Linked DNA regions of Cricetulus griseus. The protein of the gene in region 1 purifies or fractionates together with the protein of each later gene. This does not show direct contact. Links are inferred from orthologs where the notes say so. Each region holds a gene or a part of one and is shown in the gene's direction. Other genes may lie near its edges.

Region 1 (4,079 bases):
GTGTGTGTGTGTGTGTGTGTGTAGTGAGAAAAAAAAAACAGCTCTGGCAGTCAGTATGAGTTTTAGAAATCAAACTCAGGTTGACAGGCTGAGCCATTTCACTGGCTCTAATAATTCTTTTAATTATTTGTTGCTTTACTAGGGCACTTTTTGCAATACTAGGACAATACTGTACACTTTTACTTGAGGATTACTAATATATTACTATACCTGGCAACCAGTTTTCACTTCTAGAGCTATATAATTAAAATTTTAATAGTACTGGCTTCTTAAGGAGTATACACCTATTTCTTTTCCTTACTTTTCTGTTTTCTTTCATTGTTTCTTCTCCATTTCCCTTCCTTCCATGTCTTTCTTTCTTTCTCTCTCTTTTTTTCCTTTGGTTTTTCGAGACAGGGTTTCTCTGTAGTTTTGGAGCCTGTCCTGGAACTCACTCTGTAGACCAGGCTGGCCTTGAACGGAGATCCACCTGCTTCTGCCTCCCAAGTGCTGGGATAAAGGCGTGCGCCACCAACGCCCGGCTGCATGTCTTTCTTATTTTCTTCTTGAGACAAAGTCTCAAAATTACCCAAGTTGGCCTTGAACTCACATTGTAGTCCAGGTAGGATGTGAATTTGCATTTCCTAACCTCATCCATCCTCCCACTTCTGCTGGGATTACCAGCGTGTGCCACTACGAAGTTTTAAAACATATATATATATATATATATATATATATATATATATATATATATATATGCACTATTTTAATTCTAGCACTTGAAAGGCAAAGGCAGATGGTTAGCTTGAGTTCAAGGCGAGCCTGGTCTACACAGCGAGTTAAGGACCGTCAGGGCTAGAGGGACCCTGTCTCAAAAATAAAATAAAATAAAATAAAATAAAACAAACAAAAGGAAAATGAAGCCAGATCTGGCTGAAAAACAGGAGGGACGAGGCGCGTAAAAAGTGGGTAAACAACTGGGCAGTTACAACACGATATTTATTTCTTTTGCGGAGCCTTGGCATCCCATTTATAAACGTGGAAGGGTAAAATGACTGGATGGAGGAATGAATGAGACATGATTTAGGCAGTAACAGGATTATCCTGCCCGTGGCAGCAGCACTCAGTGTACAGTCAACTATGGTGATGGCCACGCCCTTTGACAGCCGTGAACCGGAAGCTGCCATTCGTTGCCTAGAAACGTACGGAGTCTGCCCCATGAGGCGTAAACAGCTGATGACGTCTGCGTCGCAGTTGCGAAGCAAGCGCGGCCATATTGCCCTCTGGCGGCCACCGTACGGACTTTGACTGATAAGGTGGCGGCGCGCTCCGAGGACCTGCAGATAGGCGCGGCCATATCTCCCGGAACGTACGGTGTTCGCTACCTTACGGATTCCATGGTTAAGATGGCGGCGCCTGGGCGACATTCGCGGCTGTAGTTGGGCGACCTATTTGTCTGCTGCTGAGCGGTCGTTCTGGGCGAGAAGACTCAGAGTGCGGTGCCGTGGAGGCGGGACCAGGAGCGGAAGTGGTTGTGGGCGCTTTTGCCACCGCCGCGGACGCTGCCTAGGGGCTCGTTCAGGTTCGCTGGGTGCTGCCGGGGGTCCAGAGCGGGTGCGCTGTGAGAGGAGATATGGTGAGTATCCGGTTGGATCGCGGTTCCGAGGCAGAGGTCGGTGGGGTTGGCAACTGCTGCCTGTTGGCAAGGCGCACGGGGCTTCTGGTGAGGTGGATGCCGAGTCTGGGGGCCGATGGGAAAAGGTGTGTGATGGGGTTTGAAGTGAACCATCTGTGAGTTCTTTGATGAACCGTTGTAGGGGGTCCATAGTGGGACTTAAGTAGAGACTGCAGGTGGCAGTTTTGTGGGAAGCCTTCACGTGAGGATCCTTGGTCAGAGAGATAAGGTCTTGGCCATGAGTATTTACAGGGGCTCTGAAAAACCGTCATTGGGGTTGGGGGTCTGTGAGCTAAGTTATAGAGACTTGTGGGAAGCCGGGATGGGACGACAGCCCAACAAATTAAGAGATATCCGGGTAGAACTCTTGAAGGCGGCAATGTGGTAAGTGTTTGTGATGAGCAGTTAAGAGTGACAGGATGCTTGTCAGTGATGTGTGTGATGGGAGAGCAGTATAAGCAAAGTAATGAGGCCCAGGGTTGAGTGATGAGGGTCTGGGCGATCTGTGAGGGAGAGGCTGATGGGAATCTATGAGAGGGAGGAAGTCCAAAGACACAGTAGGAACTTGTGTTGAGCCGTGGTCGAGCTGTAAGCGGGAATTAAGGAGTCATCATTGGGGGTGGGTCTCACAGGATGGAGACGGTTCAGACTTGGAGCCTCCAGATGCTGGAGAGGACAGCAAGTCTGAGAATGGGGAGAATGCTCCCATCTACTGCATCTGCCGAAAACCAGACATCAACTGCTTCATGATGTGAGCTGGGGAGAGGTGGGTGGGCTGATGCCTGGCGGGGTTGGGGAGCACCGATGAAGCCCACCCCTCACGTCTCTACCACTTGCTCCATTATATGCAGTGGATGTGACAACTGCAATGAGTGGTTCCATGGGGACTGCATCAGGATCACTGAGAAGATGGCCAAAGCCATCCGGGAATGGTACTGTCGGGATTGCCGAGGTGAGGCCCAGTGGGGAAGGCAGGTGGGCTCCAAGAGATGAAGAGGAACCGTAATGGGAGGGCTCATGGGTAATCGAGGTGTCCTCTGTGGACAGAGTGATTGTCGGTCCTTGGGGTATTGGAATACCAACTCCATTGTGAGCAATAATGGAGGATCCTAAAGGGAGAGGGCAGCTCTCGCCTATAACATGAGCCAGAGAAGTAGTTGGGGTGGGAACAGAGAAAGAGGTTTTGGGATCATTCATATCCCCCCCCCACCCGCCACACACACACACACACACACACACACACAAACCCACTTTGGTCTTACTCTTTGCCTCATAGAGAAGGACCCGAAGCTGGAGATTCGTTACCGACACAAAAAATCCCGGGAACGGGATGGCAGTGAGCGGGACGGCAGTGAGCCCCGGGATGAGGGAGGAGGGCGCAAGAGGCCTGCTTCAGATCCAGACCTGCAGCGCCGGGCAGGGTCAGGGACAGGGGTTGGGACCATGCTTGCTCGGGGCTCAGCTTCGCCCCACAAATCTTCTCCACAGCCCTTAGTGGCTACACCTAGCCAGGTGAGTGACTGCGGTGGTTGGGGTGGGTAAAATTCTGCTCTGGGCCCCATTTGGGTTCCTGATGTCTATCCTGCGCATTGACTCCTAGCATCACCAGCAGCAGCAGCAACAGCAACAAATCAAACGGTCAGCCCGAATGTGTGGTGAGTGTGAGGCATGCCGGCGCACTGAGGACTGTGGCCACTGTGATTTCTGCCGTGACATGAAGAAGTTCGGGGGGCCCAACAAGATCCGGCAGAAGTGCCGGCTTCGCCAGTGTCAGCTGCGGGCACGGGTAAGCATGGACAGAGCTGGGTAGGTTCAGGTGGGAGAGCATGGCTGGGAGGCCCAAGTAGGGCTGCTTGAGCTACAAATGAGAAAGTGTGGGTGGGGTGGGGTGGGGCCTCATTATGTCCAGATGAGTGGGAGGGGGCCTAGCATGTTCAGGTGAATGCCACATGACATAACTAGCTGGCAGGGGCATATATTTTTAGGTGGTCAGGCATGCCAGGGCACAACAGGTAGGACTGAGCGTATGTCTGAGGTGAGGGGAGGGCTAAAACATTTTGTGTAGACCAGGCAAGGATGAGTAGTTGGGGATAGGACAGGGTGACCCATCATTTTCCTGGGGCTGACCTAGGCCTTCCTCCTGCGCACAGGAATCGTACAAGTACTTCCCTTCCTCGGTGAGTCCAGCCCCCCAGGGCGGGGCAGGGCATGCGGGCAGGGCGGTCAGGGCCAGTCCTGAGATTCTGCCCCGCAGCTCTCGCCGGTGACGCCCTCAGAGGCCCTGCCAAGGCCCCGCCGGCCACCACCCACTCAACAGCAGCCACAGCCATCCCAGAAGCTGGGGCGTATCCGTGAAGATGAGGGGACAGTGTTGTCATCTGTGGGTAAGGAGCTGCCAGAGGCTACAGCAACACCCGAGCCACTC
Region 2 (3,515 bases), on another chromosome or scaffold:
GCCCTGACTCCAGCCCGACGGGGGTTGGCTACCCTACCCACTGGAGACGACTCAGAGGCCACCGAGACCTCAGATGAGGCTGAGCGCCCAAGCCCTCTACTCAGCCACATCCTCTTGGAACACAATTATGCCCTGGCCATTAAGCCCCCACCTGCCACACCAGCACCTCGGCCCCTAGAGCCAGCTCCTGCCCTTGCTGCACTCTTCAGCTCCCCAGCTGATGAAGTCTTGGAGGCCCCTGAGGTGGTGGTGGCTGAAGCAGAGGAGCCAAAGCAACAGCTGCAGCAGCAGCAGCAGCATCCGGAGCAGAAGAGGGAGGAGGAGGAGGAGGAGGAGGAGGAAGAAGAGGGGTCTTCAGAAAGCAGCAGCAGCAGCAGCAGCAGTGATGAGGAAGGGGCTATCAGGAGGCGCAGCCTCCGCTCCCACACTCGACGAAGACGGCCACCACTCCCACCCCCACCCCCACCACCTCCTTCTTTTGAGCCAAGGAGTGAATTTGAGCAGATGACCATCCTATATGACATTTGGAACTCAGGCCTGGACTTGGAAGACATGAGCTATTTGCGGCTCACGTATGAGCGGCTATTGCAGCAGACCAGTGGGGCTGACTGGCTTAATGATACTCACTGGGTCCATCACACAAATATCCTGAGCCACAGAGCTTGCTTGTACCCTAGAGCAAGACACAGGGCTGGGATGGGGTCAGCATTCCCTGGGGTCATATGGCCAGAAATGTCATCCTCAGGTCAGTCCTACAGCTGCAGTGATCTCCTGTCTGTCTAATTTACTGTGCCTTGATTAGCTTTGGGGTTCTCTAGTTGCCAGCTGTCTTTTCCCTCTGCCTTGTGTCTCCTCTGACTGAACAGGTAAGATCTAGACTTGCCTTCTCCTGTCTGTCTCCTGAGTATTCTCACTATCAGACCAGCTACCCTGTAGGCTGGGTCTGGGGTGCACAGGAGGTGTGAGCCCTAAGGGACTGGCCAGTAGGGAACCTGTTCTCTTCCTTAACACCCTGCACTCACCAACCTAAGCACTCCAAAGCGTAAGCGACGGCCCCAAGATGGGCCCCGGGAGCATCAGACAGGCTCTGCACGCAGTGAAGGTTACTACCCCATCAGCAAGAAGGAGAAGGACAAGTACCTGGATGTGTGCCCTGTCTCAGCCCGACAGCTGGAAGGCGTGGACACTCAGGTAGAGTCCTGCCCCAAGCCCTAGCTTGCTGCCTCCTTCCTGTCCTTTAAGCACTCATCACCTGTCTTGCTCACAGGGGACTAATCGGGTACTTTCTGAGCGACGATCAGAGCAGCGGCGGTTACTGAGCGCCATTGGCACCTCAGCCATCATGGATAGTGATCTGCTAAAGCTAAACCAGCTCAAGGTCAGGAGGGGAAACTGGAGGAGGGAGGAGACCCAGTGGAAAAAAAACCACAGCAAGGAGATTGCCCCTGGCGGGATCCTGTGGGACGGGAAGGCGGAAGGAAAGGGAAGGTGCAGGTTTGTGAGAACATCAGCAGTTAAAGCTACCTTTTGTCCCCTAGTTCCGGAAGAAGAAACTCCGATTTGGCCGGAGCCGAATCCATGAGTGGGGTCTGTTTGCCATGGAACCCATCGCAGCTGATGAGATGGTGATAGAATATGTTGGCCAGAACATCCGCCAGGTAAGGTTCCACTCCAGCACCAGCCCAGTCGCTGACTACAGCAGCATGGGATTTCACCATCTAATCTTTTGTACAAAATCTCACTCATTACTGCCGCTGCCGCTGCCCAGCTTTGATGTTAGTGGTCCAGCCAGGAACACTGGACAATAATGATAGTAAAGAGTGGTGTTGATACTAAAGGGTTGTAGGTGTTGTGGGGACCCAGAACCTCCCAAAGACCTGCAAGCTAAAGGGTAATGAACTCCTGGGGCATCAGGATATATATGCTCCAGTTCTGAAGACAGAATTTGCAAAGGCTCAGAAGCTGTCCTCTTCGGAGGATGAGGCCAATGCATCTGTTCAGAGCCAGTGACAGGGATGTGAACCTGGACATGCAAGTGGAGCCAACTCCTCAGAGCTGGAACCCTGTCAGTCAAGTGTAGCCTTGTGGGTGGATGGGGAATGTTCTGGAAGTTGTGCAAACAAGGACTTGAGAAGCTAATAAGCTCCCTCTGGCTGTGTAGAAAAGAGCTTGTGTGGACTGGCCTCAGTGGTGCTTAATGGCAGGTCAGAGCCAAAGTATGGATGAGGTAGTGGCAACAGGGGTGACAGGACTCTAGCCTGTGGGTCCAAAGTGGTTGACAGAACCAGGTAGTTGGCTGTAGAGGATGAAAATAAGGTGTCAAGGCCTTCCTCGGGGCATCCCCAGTAGCTTTGAGGAATGTGGTTGGGAGCAGCAGAAGGAACACAAATGCAGTCAAGGTTTGTCTCAGTGCAGATGTGAGCTTGGGGTCCTAGGGTTGTAGGGGTGGCATCCCACAGTCCTACTGAGGTGGGCTTGGCTGGAGGTGGAAGCCTGGGAGGAGTCCTCACTTAGAGCTGGTGGTTAGAATTCTGCAAAGGGGTAAGGTCACTCAGTGAGAGTGGCAAATGCATTGCCTATTTCTTGGGAATAGTTGCCCCTTGCTGAAAGGCCTTTGTCCTGGCACAGACCATCTGCCATCTGCTCTCACCAGCTGCCCAGTAGGTGTCTGGGAAGGATAGTCCTAGGAAAGGATTCAGTTGAAGGCATGGCCACTGTCACATCAGAAGCCGCTGCAGGCCCACAGTATACTGTGAGCTCCACTGTGGCCACACAGGTTCTCAGCAGAGAGTCCTTGTGTGACTGACTTTGGATCAGATTGGGTGGAAGCAGGTAGACCCAGGGCATATCCAGTCAGCATGGCCCAGGAGCTGTTGGCTTGGTCAGCTAGCTCGTGCAGTGGCTGAAGTCCATGCATGTGTTCATCTCATCCTCCTCCCAGATGGTAGCTGACATGCGGGAGAAGCGCTACGTTCAGGAGGGCATTGGCAGCAGCTACCTTTTCCGGGTGGACCACGATACCATCATTGATGCCACAAAGTGCGGCAACCTGGCCAGGTTCATCAACCACTGCTGCACGGTGCGCTCAGGGCTGGGCCAGGGCTGGGCGGGGCAGGGGTGAGGGGGGCTGCGGCTTACACTGCCCCTCCTGCAGCCCAACTGCTACGCTAAGGTGATCACCATCGAGTCTCAGAAGAAGATTGTGATCTACTCCAAGCAGCCCATTGGCGTGGATGAGGAGATCACCTACGACTACAAGTTCCCACTCGAGGACAACAAGATCCCGTGTCTGTGTGGCACTGAAAGCTGCCGTGGCTCCCTCAACTGAGGTGGGGCAGGACTGGTGCCCTCACCCCTATTTATTCCCCCTTGGTGCCCTAAGCTCCCAGCACCCCCAGCCTTAGTGGGCTCAGCAGGGCCCACATGTCCCCATCTCCACATGTGGGATAGGGGCCCTGAGCCCAGCAAGGGAGCCTCAGTCCTTTGAGGTAACTTTTGACTCCCCTGTACCCCAC
Region 3 (3,515 bases), on another chromosome or scaffold:
GTTAGCTGAGTTGGCACATCGAGAATATCAGGCAGGAGATTTTGAGGCAGCTGAGAGACACTGCATGCAGCTCTGGAGACAAGAGCCTGACAATACTGGTGTCCTTTTATTACTTTCATCTATACATTTCCAGTGTCGAAGGCTGGACAGGTAGGAGATGTTGGGGTAACCTGCCTCTGGGTGCTGAGCTTAAAAAATGATAAATATTTGAACTTAAGCATTTCCAGTGCTTGGTTTCATCTGAGCCACCAACACACAGGCGCTCTTTTGCTCACTTTTGACATGCCTAGCTGCTAGTTTTTCTCCCCCGTTTTTTTTTGGGGGGGGAAGCATATTATCAGTATGATGAGGTTTTCCCCCTAGATTTTATCACTTGGGGCTGCTGCTTTATTAATTCTTTCCAGATAGTTATTCTTAGTGTACATTTGAACATCCAGACCTGTTAGCTTCAGAGCGTCTGGTAGGAGGGGCATATGTAGTTCAAGTTGGAAATACCCTCATTAAATTGTTGCTTTTAGCTAATCACTTGAATTAATCAAAAGAGAAGAATTTGTGCTTTGGATCTTTTAGTAAATTATCATTTTGGCATGCTTAGACATTGAAGATGCATTGTCATTAAATCTTAAATGAAAAATGAGATTCAAGCACATAGCATTTTTATTCTTGATCTTAATGATCATGTTATACGATGTGGCAGTTTGGTAATGGATTCTAATAAAAATTTTCTTACATAAGACCCAGCTTTCCTATATGAAATCTGGATATTCTCATCTTAGAAAAGTTTTAAGTTTTCAAACTTCTGGTGTGTGCTGGTTAAAGGATAATGTTCCATAGCACAGGGTTTTCAGGAACTTTCACAGTTGCATATGAGCTATGCCTCTTTTTTTTCTAACACATATATCCATTCATCAACACTTTCCACTTTTCCAGATCTGCTCACTTTAGCACCTTGGCAATTAAACAGAATCCCCTTCTAGCAGAAGCCTATTCGAATTTGGGGAATGTGTACAAGGAAAGAGGGCAGTTGCAGGAAGCGATTGAGCATTATCGACATGCCTTGCGGCTCAAGCCTGATTTCATTGATGGTTATATTAACCTGGCAGCAGCTTTGGTAGCAGCAGGTGACATGGAAGGAGCAGTACAAGCTTACGTCTCTGCTCTTCAGTACAATCCTGTAAGTAAAAGTTTATCAGTTGTTTTCACTTCACAGCAATCCAGAAAACCAACATTTGATACTTGACAGTAGGTTTTTTTTTTTTCATGAAAGTCGGGTTGATATGTTTAATATGTTTATGTACTTGAAATGATGAAATTGATTTGACTTGGTCTGCATGACATTAAAAAAGATCCACCCTAATATTTAAAAAGTTAAATAGCAAGTTGCCTTTAATCCCAGCAGAGGCAGGCACATCTCTGTGAGTTCAAGGGCAGCCTGATTTACAGAATGAATTTCAGAACAGCCAGGACTGTTACACAGAGAAATCCTGTCTTGAAAAACCATAAAAATTATCCTCAACAAAATTCTTTTGGTAATCCTAATAAATCACAAGACACGCGTTTTTTGTGCTATTTTAGTGAACTTTGGTTAAAATCTGATGGGTATTTACAAAGAATGATGGGTAAAATGTGTTATAAAACATGAGGGGGACCTTGGCAGATTCGATGGCAGGCAAGGGTGATCGAGTCAGGGACCAACATGCCAGGCAGACAGAATTTAAGTGAGAAATTTTATTAGAAAGGGAAAGTGGAGATGGGACAAGGAAAGAGAAAAGAGGTAGAGACACAGAGAGAGGGGACAGATGAAAAGAGGGGGGGCAGGAAAAGTCCGGTCTGCCCCAGGGAACATGGGGAAAGAGCATAAGTGGGCAGGGGTTCTAAGTTGCATGTGTTTTCAGGGAGCAAGTGTACCCGGGTTGACAGACAAAGCTCACACTGTATTTAGAGTCTGGGAAAGATCAAAATATAGAGTGTGAAACAAAAAAAAAATTAAATAAAATGCAGGGATGTAAAACTTGCCCTGGAAACTGCTGATGTAATTAAGGGAAAGTGTCTGTAAACTTTTAAGAGATAAATGTTGGGGGGGTGGGTCTTGGCAGCATCAGCATATACTTGAGCTATATCAACATTGACTTTGCAACCACCCTGGAAGTAAGTGCTTAATGATTAACTGGGGTGGCTGCCATTATCAGAAGTCTTCTACAAGTTCAGACACTGCTGCTTCAGATACAAGTCTTTCTGAATCTTTACCATGATCCTTTGAGGAGGAGGGCATTATTTCCAGTTTTACCAATAATAAAAACCCACCAGACTCGGGGTTATATAACTTTTCTTGAGATCATGTAGCTAGCAGTGGTGAAGTGGAGGTTGAAAGTTGAAGTTGAATTATCAAAGCAAATGTTGACATGAACAAGAAATGAAAGTTTAAAAAGGCCTTCTGTGCCCAAAGGCAGTCCTTGTGCACAGCCTGGAAACCATTCTGCATATCTGCCTGGCTCTTGACTCCAGCCTTACAATTTAGCAAACTGAAGCTTATTTTAGTAGTTTGCCAAAGATTTGTAATCATTTTTTATCTTAATGTCTTTTAAATAATTAATTTAAAAGTTAATTTTGAAAATTTAAAAATTTCTATTGCTTTTATTTATTTATTTTTTAATTTATTTTTTATTTTACTTTATTAAAAAAATTTTTTTTGCTTTTATTTTTTAAAAATAAAAAAAAATCGATGTATGGAATGGCTGTTTTAACTGTTCATTTAGATGTATAGAGTTTGGGTCTGGGCCAGTTGTTCATTAGAATGACTATCTTAGTTTAGCTACATGTTGTTTTTGTTGTTCATTAGAATGACTACCTTAGTTTAGCTACATGTTGTTTTTGTTGTTCATTAGAATGACTACCTTAGTTTAGCTACATGTTGTTTTTGTTTTCCTTTTTTTTTTTTTTTTTTTCTTTTTTGGTTTTTCGAGACAGGGTTTCTCTGTATTGTTTTGGAGCCTTTCTTGGAACTTGCTCTGTAGACCAGGCTAGTCTTAAACTCATAGAGATCCTCTTGCCTCTGCTTCCTGAGTGCTGGGATTAAAGGCGTTCACCACCAATGCCCGACTGCTACATGTTGTCTTTGTTTGTGAGTTCATTACAATAAATGATTTTATTCACTTTGTTTTTAATCTAGTGAGAAATTGCATAGGCTTGCAGATAATGAAAGTAATTTTTAACATATTTTTTCAGGGGTACTCAGTGTATATTTGAAGTTAGAGTGCATTTGTAATTTTTATTGCAGTCCTATGTAGTTACTAAATAGTTTTTGGCAGCTAACCTTGAATGGGCTGTCTGTAGGGCTTGGACTGGATTCTTCCTAAGGCCCAGGATAGGGCATTGTTTTCCTTCAGTAATCAGGGCTAGGTTTATCCTTTACTTGTTGACTGTGTAAACTCAGCTTGGCTCTCTTGCATAGTTTGTAATCTTGGTTAACTTTACTCTGTTAATTTATTTTGACATTGGACCTTGTGTAGCCTAGC
Region 4 (4,016 bases), on another chromosome or scaffold:
GATGGCCTGGAATTCACAGAGATCCGCATGTCTCTGCCTCCGGAGTTCTGGGACTAAAGGATTGCGCCACCACCACCCGCCACACACACATTTTTAAAGAGGCCTAAAATAGTTCATGATCATTTGGCTTTTGGCTGCATTTTATCTCATAATTCCGAAGTTCTAGTCAGCCAGTCCACAGGATCTTTACTACGTATGTGCTACAGAGGAGGCCAGTTCACACAGCAGGTCGGAACAGGACACCAGATCTGTCCTCACCATCTCAAGCTTTCATGGCAGACTGCATCGTCCTTTTTAGGCTCAGAAACAATCACTGGGAATTGACTGGATTTGCAGTTTGGAAAGTTGCCATCCATTCAGGTTGCATTCAAACCGGTTTTTCCTACTCCTCAAACCTCAGAACAAATTGTAGCCAGGTGCTCTGCTTTGTCAGGTGGCCACTGCAGTCCGGACTTAGCCTTGTCTTCCCCCCTCCCCGCCCCCAGCCAACAATTTCTCTACGTAGATACCCCGATTTTTTACAGGAGGACGTGGAATTCAACCCCTAGTTATTTCCAAGAAGACTCCAACTTTTCTAGTGTTTCCATTTCGTTTGTTTTGTTAACCATTGTCATGATATGTGGGATTCTGGTCACACCTTCCTCTTAGCTGCCAGTGAGTGAAATGTCTCACAGTGAGTGCTTTCCTAGGGTTTCCCCCTCCTCCCGCATTCAAGTTAGCTATCTTCATGCGCTTTGACACTCTCGAAAAAGTTCTTAAAGAAAGCTCTGACATCCTGAGCAGTGATCATGGTATATACCCAATTGAAAGAGGCACACACTTAACATTTTATATGTTGTCCTTCATTAAATTAACACATGGAGGCCTCCTGGGTTGGTGGTGTGGTGGTCAAGCCCCGCAGCGACCGGTTCACCTGAGTCACACCCACGAGCAGGTCATGAGGGGTGACCTCCGCCAGTACCTGCGGCCTCAGGGGCACCTGAGTCTCCCTGGGGAACGGCTCACAAAGGCACTAGTCCCGAGGCGACCTCAACTTTCCCGCCCTCAGGAAGCCTCTGGACGCTCCACGCCCGCAGGCCTCCCCTCTCCACACCAGCGACCGGCGACTTCCCGGTCCACCGACTTGGGAGCCCGCCCCGCTGACGTCATCTCCCCGCCCCCGCAGCGCGCGCCTCAGTTCCCGCCCCGCCCCTTTTCCCGGCGTCCGCCGCGGCAGAGGCTCCTCGCCCTCTGATTTTGCTTCTCCTTACAAGATGGCCGACACAATGAGCCGGCGCATCGCCGGTTGGCCCTGAAGCGACTCTGGGGAAGAACGGTCAGTGAGGTTCCCGTCATCCCGCCGAGAGGGCCTTGCCCGAGGAGGTCGGCGCGGCGACCCGACTGTCAGACGCCGCCCCGGTAGCCGCCAGCGCGGCGCCCGCACGGCTGGGGTTGGCCCTGAGCAGCCCGCCCGCCCGCTCGCTCGCCCGCTCGCCCGCCCGCCTCTCGGCCCCGCCCCGGCCCTGCGCCGCCGCGGCTGCCTTCAGCCGCCGCCGCCGCCGCCGCCATGAAGCTGACCGACAGCGTGCTGAGGAGCTTCCGCGTCGCCAAGGTGTTCCGCGAGAACTCGGACAAGATCAACTGCTTCGACTTCAGCCCCAACGGGGAGACGGTCATCTCCAGCAGCGACGACGACTCCATCGTGCTCTACGACTGCCAGGAGGGCAAGTGAGTGTGGCGGTGGCCGCGGGCCGGGTTCCAAGCGCCTCCCTCCCCTTCCTTGTGTCGCCCGTCCCCGGCTGAGCCCCCACCCCCCACCCCCAGCCTGTGGTGTGCACCCCGCCTCCATCCTGCAGTGGTGCAGCCCCCTCCTGTCTCTGTAAAGCCAGGGTGGTCCTAGTCAGCGCTAGCGTTGCTGTGCCGGGCGTGCGTCTTTGGTCTCTCCCGAGCGCGCCCGCTCTCCAGACCCCACCTTGACCTTGACCTTTAAACGCCGCGTCCCTGCCCCCGGCGGCCAGGCGGGTGGCCCTTCCCGCTCCCCTGCCTGTCAGAGGCTGCGGGTCCCCCGGCTCTGAGCTCGGCGCAGAAGCGGAGGAGCTGTGGTGCCCGTCCGTCAGCGGCGTCGGCTCTCTGCCCTCACCGCGGTGACCTGGATTCAGCCCTGGCACCGCGCCCGTCCCCCCTGCCCCTCGGCTTCCAGCGCGGCCTTTCTGCCACCCAGCCCCGCGAGAGGCAGTTTTCAGCTGTCAGGATTTATCGGTTGCGCCTGTGCGTGAGCCTGCTGCCTTTTTCCCTGTGCCGATACCCACGCTTACAGTTAACTTGTTAAACAGCCTCTCGGAAACTTTTCAGTGCCAGGCTCGGGCGAACTTGGCCGCCCCATTCTGGTCAGAATGTGAGCTCCCTTTAAGACAAAGAAAGCGTTCTGGAACAATTTAGTGTTTCCTTTTGCATTACAAAAAAAAAAAAAAAGTTTACTCGAGTGCGGCGGCCCAGCCGCCAATCTCAGCATTTAGGCCACAGAGGCAGGCAGATTCCGAGTTCTGGACTTCATAGGCCAAGACTCAAAAGGGTTTTAAAAAAAAAAAAAAAAAAACCGCCAGTGTGTAGTTTGCTTGGAATTAACAAAACTCTGGATCTGGTTATGGGAGTTATGTGTTGGTTGGATAACCGCTATGGTTGTGTGCCTTTGCTGAGCAGATCACTTTGCCTTTTTCATAGCCTGAGGTGGGAGAGACGTTGTCTGCCTGGCCTCACCCTCTAGGTCCAAGTCCTTTGCAACAGAAACTAGTGTAGGCTAAATTTGATTTCCCTTGTCAACTTCAGCTGCCTTTCCTAAGCAGGAGATGTTTGGTTTAGTTTAATAGCTACTGTTTTTGACATTTTGTTAAAGTTACCTATGTTTTTGAAGCCTTAACTTTTTCTCTACTTACTCCATCTGTTCCTTTTGTTTCATTTTTCAAATAACAGACAGTTTTCTTTTGGAACTTGTCCCTCTGCATTTATCTAAAGTAAGGCTGTGTTGTAGACTAAGCTGCATATGTTTTTCTTGACTGTTTTCCTCACTGGGACTATAATAAAGTATTATGTAACTGTCTCTGGACCTGCCTGCTGTGTGTGGAAGAGTTCCCTACAGTGGTGATCCTGGGGAAAGAGAATCACAGATAGTTGTTTGAATTGATGTTCGTTTTAGTGTGTTGGTTTTTATCCTGCTCTGACCATTTGAGTTTGTTTGGAAGAGCTGGTAGGATTTAAAGTTGGGAACTGGAAGTAATTTGAAGTTGGTTTGCTTGAAATATTTAGTGTAGTACATATATGAGAATCTTCCCCCCAAAAGTTGAAGTGGAAATGCATATCCCTTATTCAAAGAAATAAAATGCTAAGACTAATTTATGTATAAAACCTTTTTACATGATTACAGACTTCATAGAACGTTACCAGTGTTCCAAAGAAATTTCTTGAAGAAAAAAAAAAAAGGCGCTTTCTTGCTCCGCAGTGCCTGTAATTCCAGCACTGGGGTAGGAGACTGGAGGTGGGAATGTTGGGATGCAGCTTGAACTACATAGTAAGATCCTGTCTCAAAAAAGAAAATATAAGAGCTGGAGAGATGGTTAAGAGTATACTTGGTGCTCTTACAGAGGATCTGGGGTCAGTTCCCAGCACCAGCATGGAGGTTCACAACCATCTGTAACTCCAGGGGGTCTGACTCCTACTTCTGACTTCCCTGATACCAGGAACATGTAGACATACACACAGGCAAACACCTATACACATAAAAATAAAGTAAATAAATATTTTTTAAAAGTTGTTTTAAGAAGAAAATATGTTTTAAAAAAGGTTTCTAGGAACTGGAGAGATGGCCCAGGGTTAAGAGCATATGCTAATCTTGCAGTTCAGTGCCAGAACCGACCGGAGGCCCACAACTACATTTAACTCCAGATCTGATGCTCTCTTCTGGCCTCCATGGGCAATAGCCATGTAAAGGGTGCATATTATGTAGATGCAGGCAAAACACTCATATACATAAAATAAAATCA
Region 5 (3,211 bases), on another chromosome or scaffold:
GTAGAAGTTGATCCCCTGTGAGTTGACGTGGCAGGAGCTGGTAGAAGGTGTTGAGATTATGTGGCCTTCACCTTTGTGGCACTGAATAAGTTGTTTAAGATTCAGTTGTTGAGTTCAGTCAAATGGGATACCTGTTACACTCCTGTCATCCCAGCCCTCAGGAGGCTGAGGCAGGAAGATTAGGAGAATCAAGTAGCCTTGGTTATGTAGTGAGTTCCTGGGGGAGGGGGGAGAGATTGAGATTAAAAATAGAAAAGGATTTTGCTGGCTAGTGCGATAGCACTCGCTGTGGCTTATGACCACTGAAATCTTTTGTAAATGAAGAATATTAACACCCACGTAAAGCTCTGTTTGCCCTAGGTGAGTGTGGCATCTAAAGCTGCCCACATTGTCTCTCTCAAGCTGCACAGTACTGCTCCCTTTCTCAAGGTGAGCTCTGTTAGTGTAGAGGTCTCAGAAAGAAGGGGCCAGTAGCTGTCCTTTATTGAGCAACTACACATTGCATGCCCAGTCTTTATGTGTCTCACCAGTCATCACAAACATCTCATCTGGTTTGTATTGGATGTAGTAACCGAGTTGCTGTTGGAAGCCACTTCTGTTCTGGCTGCTAAGAATAAATGCTGAGGAAAACTAAGGCATAACAAGACTTGCTGCCTTTGTCACTGTGACTGCAGTTTCACCCTACACCTGTGGCCAGGCTCTTGCCATTTGTCACATGTGTTGTTGGCCTTTGGTGCAGTCTGCATAACTTTGTTTCCTTTCTAAAGAGTTGAAACTGCATTAGGAATGGTGGGTAGCAGGTGGCTGTGAACTGCTCAAATGAAAGGCCAGTGGCCTAAATGGGGAAAATGGATATTTGCTGGGCTCTTGAATGGCCCTTGGGGCTTATTTATGCAATGGGGAACTCTTGAGAACTAAATAACAGTAGTTTGTCTTATCTCCACAGGTCAGGCATGTTGGAAGCAGGAGTAGACAGGATCATTTCTCAGGTGGTGGACCCCAAACTAAATCACATCTTCAGGCCACAGATAGAGCGAGCAATCCACGAGTTCCTGGCAGCCCAGAAAAAAGAAGCTATGCCAGCTCCCCCTCCAGAACCTGAAAGCCAGGATCCTCCAGCGCCATCCCAAGACACTTCTTAAGGTTTAGTACCCCATCTTTCCTCTCTGGCTAGTTGATGGTTAGAAACGGGGTAAGCTGTGATTAGACATCATGTTTTACACGTGGGAGTGGAGTTCACCCCAGGGAGCCATCCTCAGTGAATTCAGCTCTAGCTGCTCCCATATTGGCAACTGTGCTCTGCACCAGTGGAGCCGAGCATCCAAGTCATCACAGGAAACCTCATCAGGAACCACTGTGGCAACTGGTTTACACAGGGGATTTGTGGAGGTCATCTCTGAGATTGCTTACCTGTGGCTCTCCCCTGGCTGACATTTGTGATTTTTTTTATATGAAATCAAGCAGCAATCCCAAATGCTGTCTCAAGTGAGAACTTTGCATGGGCTCTGCGTTTCCAAGTTGCCCCTGTGGAGAGCCATGCAGCTCTCTGTTCTCTTTGTCCCAGGTTTAGGATTTTATCTAAACTTTAAAAATAGCTGGAGATATAGAGGTGGATGCTGTGCCGGGTTTGGGGAGCCACCGTATGACCAATAGATCCCTCACCTGCCATCATCACACCCCTGGGGTGTTCTAGTCCCTTGTGCTGCTAGTAAGTCTTTGAGATATTGATACTAATAAATTGGGTAGGGAGGCAGGTGATCTAGGCCTTTGAACTTGAGCAATTGCGGGTTGTGCTGTGCCTCTTGGGAGAGATTCTTATACTTTGGTTGTGAGCCTAGCCTTTAACGGCTGAGCCATCTCTGCAGCCCAGGAGAGATTCTTGATTCATCCTGGAGTGTAAAATATTTATTTATGTTAAATCTTTAATTCTTTTAGGAATATATAATTAGTGAATATAAGCCCTTATCAAAAGTAGCGTTTTGACATTTTCTTTTTCTTTTTTTTTTTTAAGAATATGCCTGATACCTTTGGAAAACTCCATTTAATGAAGAAACGAAATGGATTCCTGATTCATATGAATATAACTTGAGTCGACCATGTCACTATACTGATGTCAAGATTTTGGCCTTGACTGGGGTGGTGTACACATTCTATGGAAAGCTCATGCATTGTGCCACCTTTGACCAGCCTGTCCGAGGGTCTGACCACAGTAGACACTACAGAGGTTTAAGCACTACATGACCTGGGCTATCCTGAACAAACCTCTACACTTGAACACAGACCCTGCATGTGGATGTTAGCGCTTGTGCTCTGCAGTATGCAGAAGCCAGGCTGCAGCAAGCCGGTCAGGACAGCAAAGGGCAATGGGAGCAGCTGATATTGTTGCTAGAGTTACAGGCTGGAATGCGCAGCAGTTAGCGTCAGTAGCCCTAAGGTTGTTGTGACCTCCTTGTGCTTGGAGATTTTAGTGGTTTTCTTTCTCTTGTCAGAGGTAGCTTGGAGCCCTGGAGTGAGTGAGTTAAGTTGAGACTTGGGGACAAGGAAAGCCCCACTGTCTCTGTCCTAGCGTCTCACTAGCCGCAGGGGCAAGCGAGTCACTCTGGATGTGGTGCTCAGTTCTCATGTTTGTTTTTAGAAGAACAACCGTTAATAAATAGCAGATGTTTTACAATAAAGTCATTTGATGATCTTTCCCTAAAGCCCCAACAGAATCTTAGCGCCTCTGTCTGTGGAGGTGACTTACTTCCTCTATCTGCCTGCTATCTCCAGACAACCTGTGATTGGTGGGAATGGAGGATTGCTGGTTGGAACTTAGAAGCACCCTGGTTCAGGCTGGCTGATGCAGCTGGTCAGGGCCAGGCAGTGTCTTGTTGAATGTTCTGACTCATCTCAAGCTTGGATGAGTAAATACCAGTGCCCCTGAGTGTCTCAGGACAGGGTGGGAGAGCTAGGTGTTATTGGCCTGGGGTGGGGTCAGGTGAGAAGGGGATAGGTTGCATGTGTGGTCAGAAGACAACTTGCAGATAAAGGTTCTCTTTCTGCCACCTGTGTCCCAATGATTGAATTCAGGTGATGGGGCTTGGTGGCAAACACCTTTATTCATTGGCCCAAAAGTTTGTATCTCACAAGCTCCTGGATGATTCTGAGCCTTGGGTATAGCAAAGATTGCTTCAAACTAAAAGTCCTTGTTCTTAGTTGAGTACACTGGATA

The links.
Region 2: the proteins of Cxxc1 (region 1) and Setd1a purify together in Homo sapiens (affinity purification with western blotting; 16 studies listed by BioGRID and IntAct, counting the BioPlex papers as one, with this or other methods). This does not show direct contact. The link is inferred for Cricetulus griseus from reciprocal best matches to the Homo sapiens genes CXXC1 and SETD1A.
Region 3: the proteins of Cxxc1 (region 1) and Ogt purify together in Homo sapiens (affinity purification with mass spectrometry; 3 studies listed by BioGRID and IntAct, with this or other methods). This does not show direct contact. The link is inferred for Cricetulus griseus from reciprocal best matches to the Homo sapiens genes CXXC1 and OGT.
Region 4: the proteins of Cxxc1 (region 1) and Wdr82 purify together in Homo sapiens (affinity purification with western blotting; 7 studies listed by BioGRID and IntAct, with this or other methods). This does not show direct contact. The link is inferred for Cricetulus griseus from reciprocal best matches to the Homo sapiens genes CXXC1 and WDR82.
Region 5: the proteins of Cxxc1 (region 1) and Bod1 purify together in Homo sapiens (affinity purification with mass spectrometry; 4 studies listed by BioGRID and IntAct, counting the BioPlex papers as one, with this or other methods). This does not show direct contact. The link is inferred for Cricetulus griseus from reciprocal best matches to the Homo sapiens genes CXXC1 and BOD1.

Annotation. Positions count from the first base shown.
Region 1 is NC_048595.1:165,573,418-165,577,496, reverse strand, and holds the start of Cxxc1 (CXXC-type zinc finger protein 1), read left to right. Parts: upstream 1-1,271; 5' UTR 1,272-1,612; coding exon 1,613-1,615; intron 1,616-2,286; coding exon 2,287-2,405; intron 2,406-2,505; coding exon 2,506-2,606; intron 2,607-2,930; coding exon 2,931-3,166; intron 3,167-3,254; coding exon 3,255-3,440; intron 3,441-3,804; coding exon 3,805-3,831; intron 3,832-3,908; coding exon 3,909-4,079. UniProt on the Homo sapiens protein: Transcriptional activator that exhibits a unique DNA binding specificity for CpG unmethylated motifs with a preference for CpGG.
Region 2 is NC_048596.1:72,972,905-72,976,419, reverse strand, and holds the end of Setd1a (histone-lysine N-methyltransferase SETD1A), read left to right. Parts: coding exon 1-643; intron 644-1,018; coding exon 1,019-1,191; intron 1,192-1,267; coding exon 1,268-1,378; intron 1,379-1,538; coding exon 1,539-1,658; intron 1,659-2,941; coding exon 2,942-3,079; intron 3,080-3,154; coding exon 3,155-3,328; downstream 3,329-3,515. UniProt on the Homo sapiens protein: Histone methyltransferase that catalyzes methyl group transfer from S-adenosyl-L-methionine to the epsilon-amino group of 'Lys-4' of histone H3 (H3K4) via a non-processive mechanism.
Region 3 is NC_048604.1:68,636,409-68,639,923, reverse strand, and holds part of Ogt (UDP-N-acetylglucosamine--peptide N-acetylglucosaminyltransferase 110 kDa subunit), read left to right. Parts: coding exon 1-150; intron 151-930; coding exon 931-1,174; intron 1,175-3,515. UniProt on the Homo sapiens protein: Catalyzes the transfer of a single N-acetylglucosamine from UDP-GlcNAc to a serine or threonine residue in cytoplasmic and nuclear proteins resulting in their modification with a beta-linked N-acetylglucosamine (O-GlcNAc).
Region 4 is NC_048597.1:214,373,363-214,377,378, forward strand, and holds the start of Wdr82 (WD repeat-containing protein 82), read left to right. Parts: upstream 1-1,212; 5' UTR 1,213-1,546; coding exon 1,547-1,707; intron 1,708-4,016. UniProt on the Homo sapiens protein: Regulatory component of the SET1/COMPASS complex implicated in the tethering of this complex to transcriptional start sites of active genes.
Region 5 is NC_048600.1:46,636,191-46,639,401, forward strand, and holds the end of Bod1 (biorientation of chromosomes in cell division protein 1), read left to right. Parts: intron 1-946; coding exon 947-1,142; 3' UTR 1,143-1,143; intron 1,144-2,011; 3' UTR 2,012-2,699; downstream 2,700-3,211. UniProt on the Homo sapiens protein: Required for proper chromosome biorientation through the detection or correction of syntelic attachments in mitotic spindles.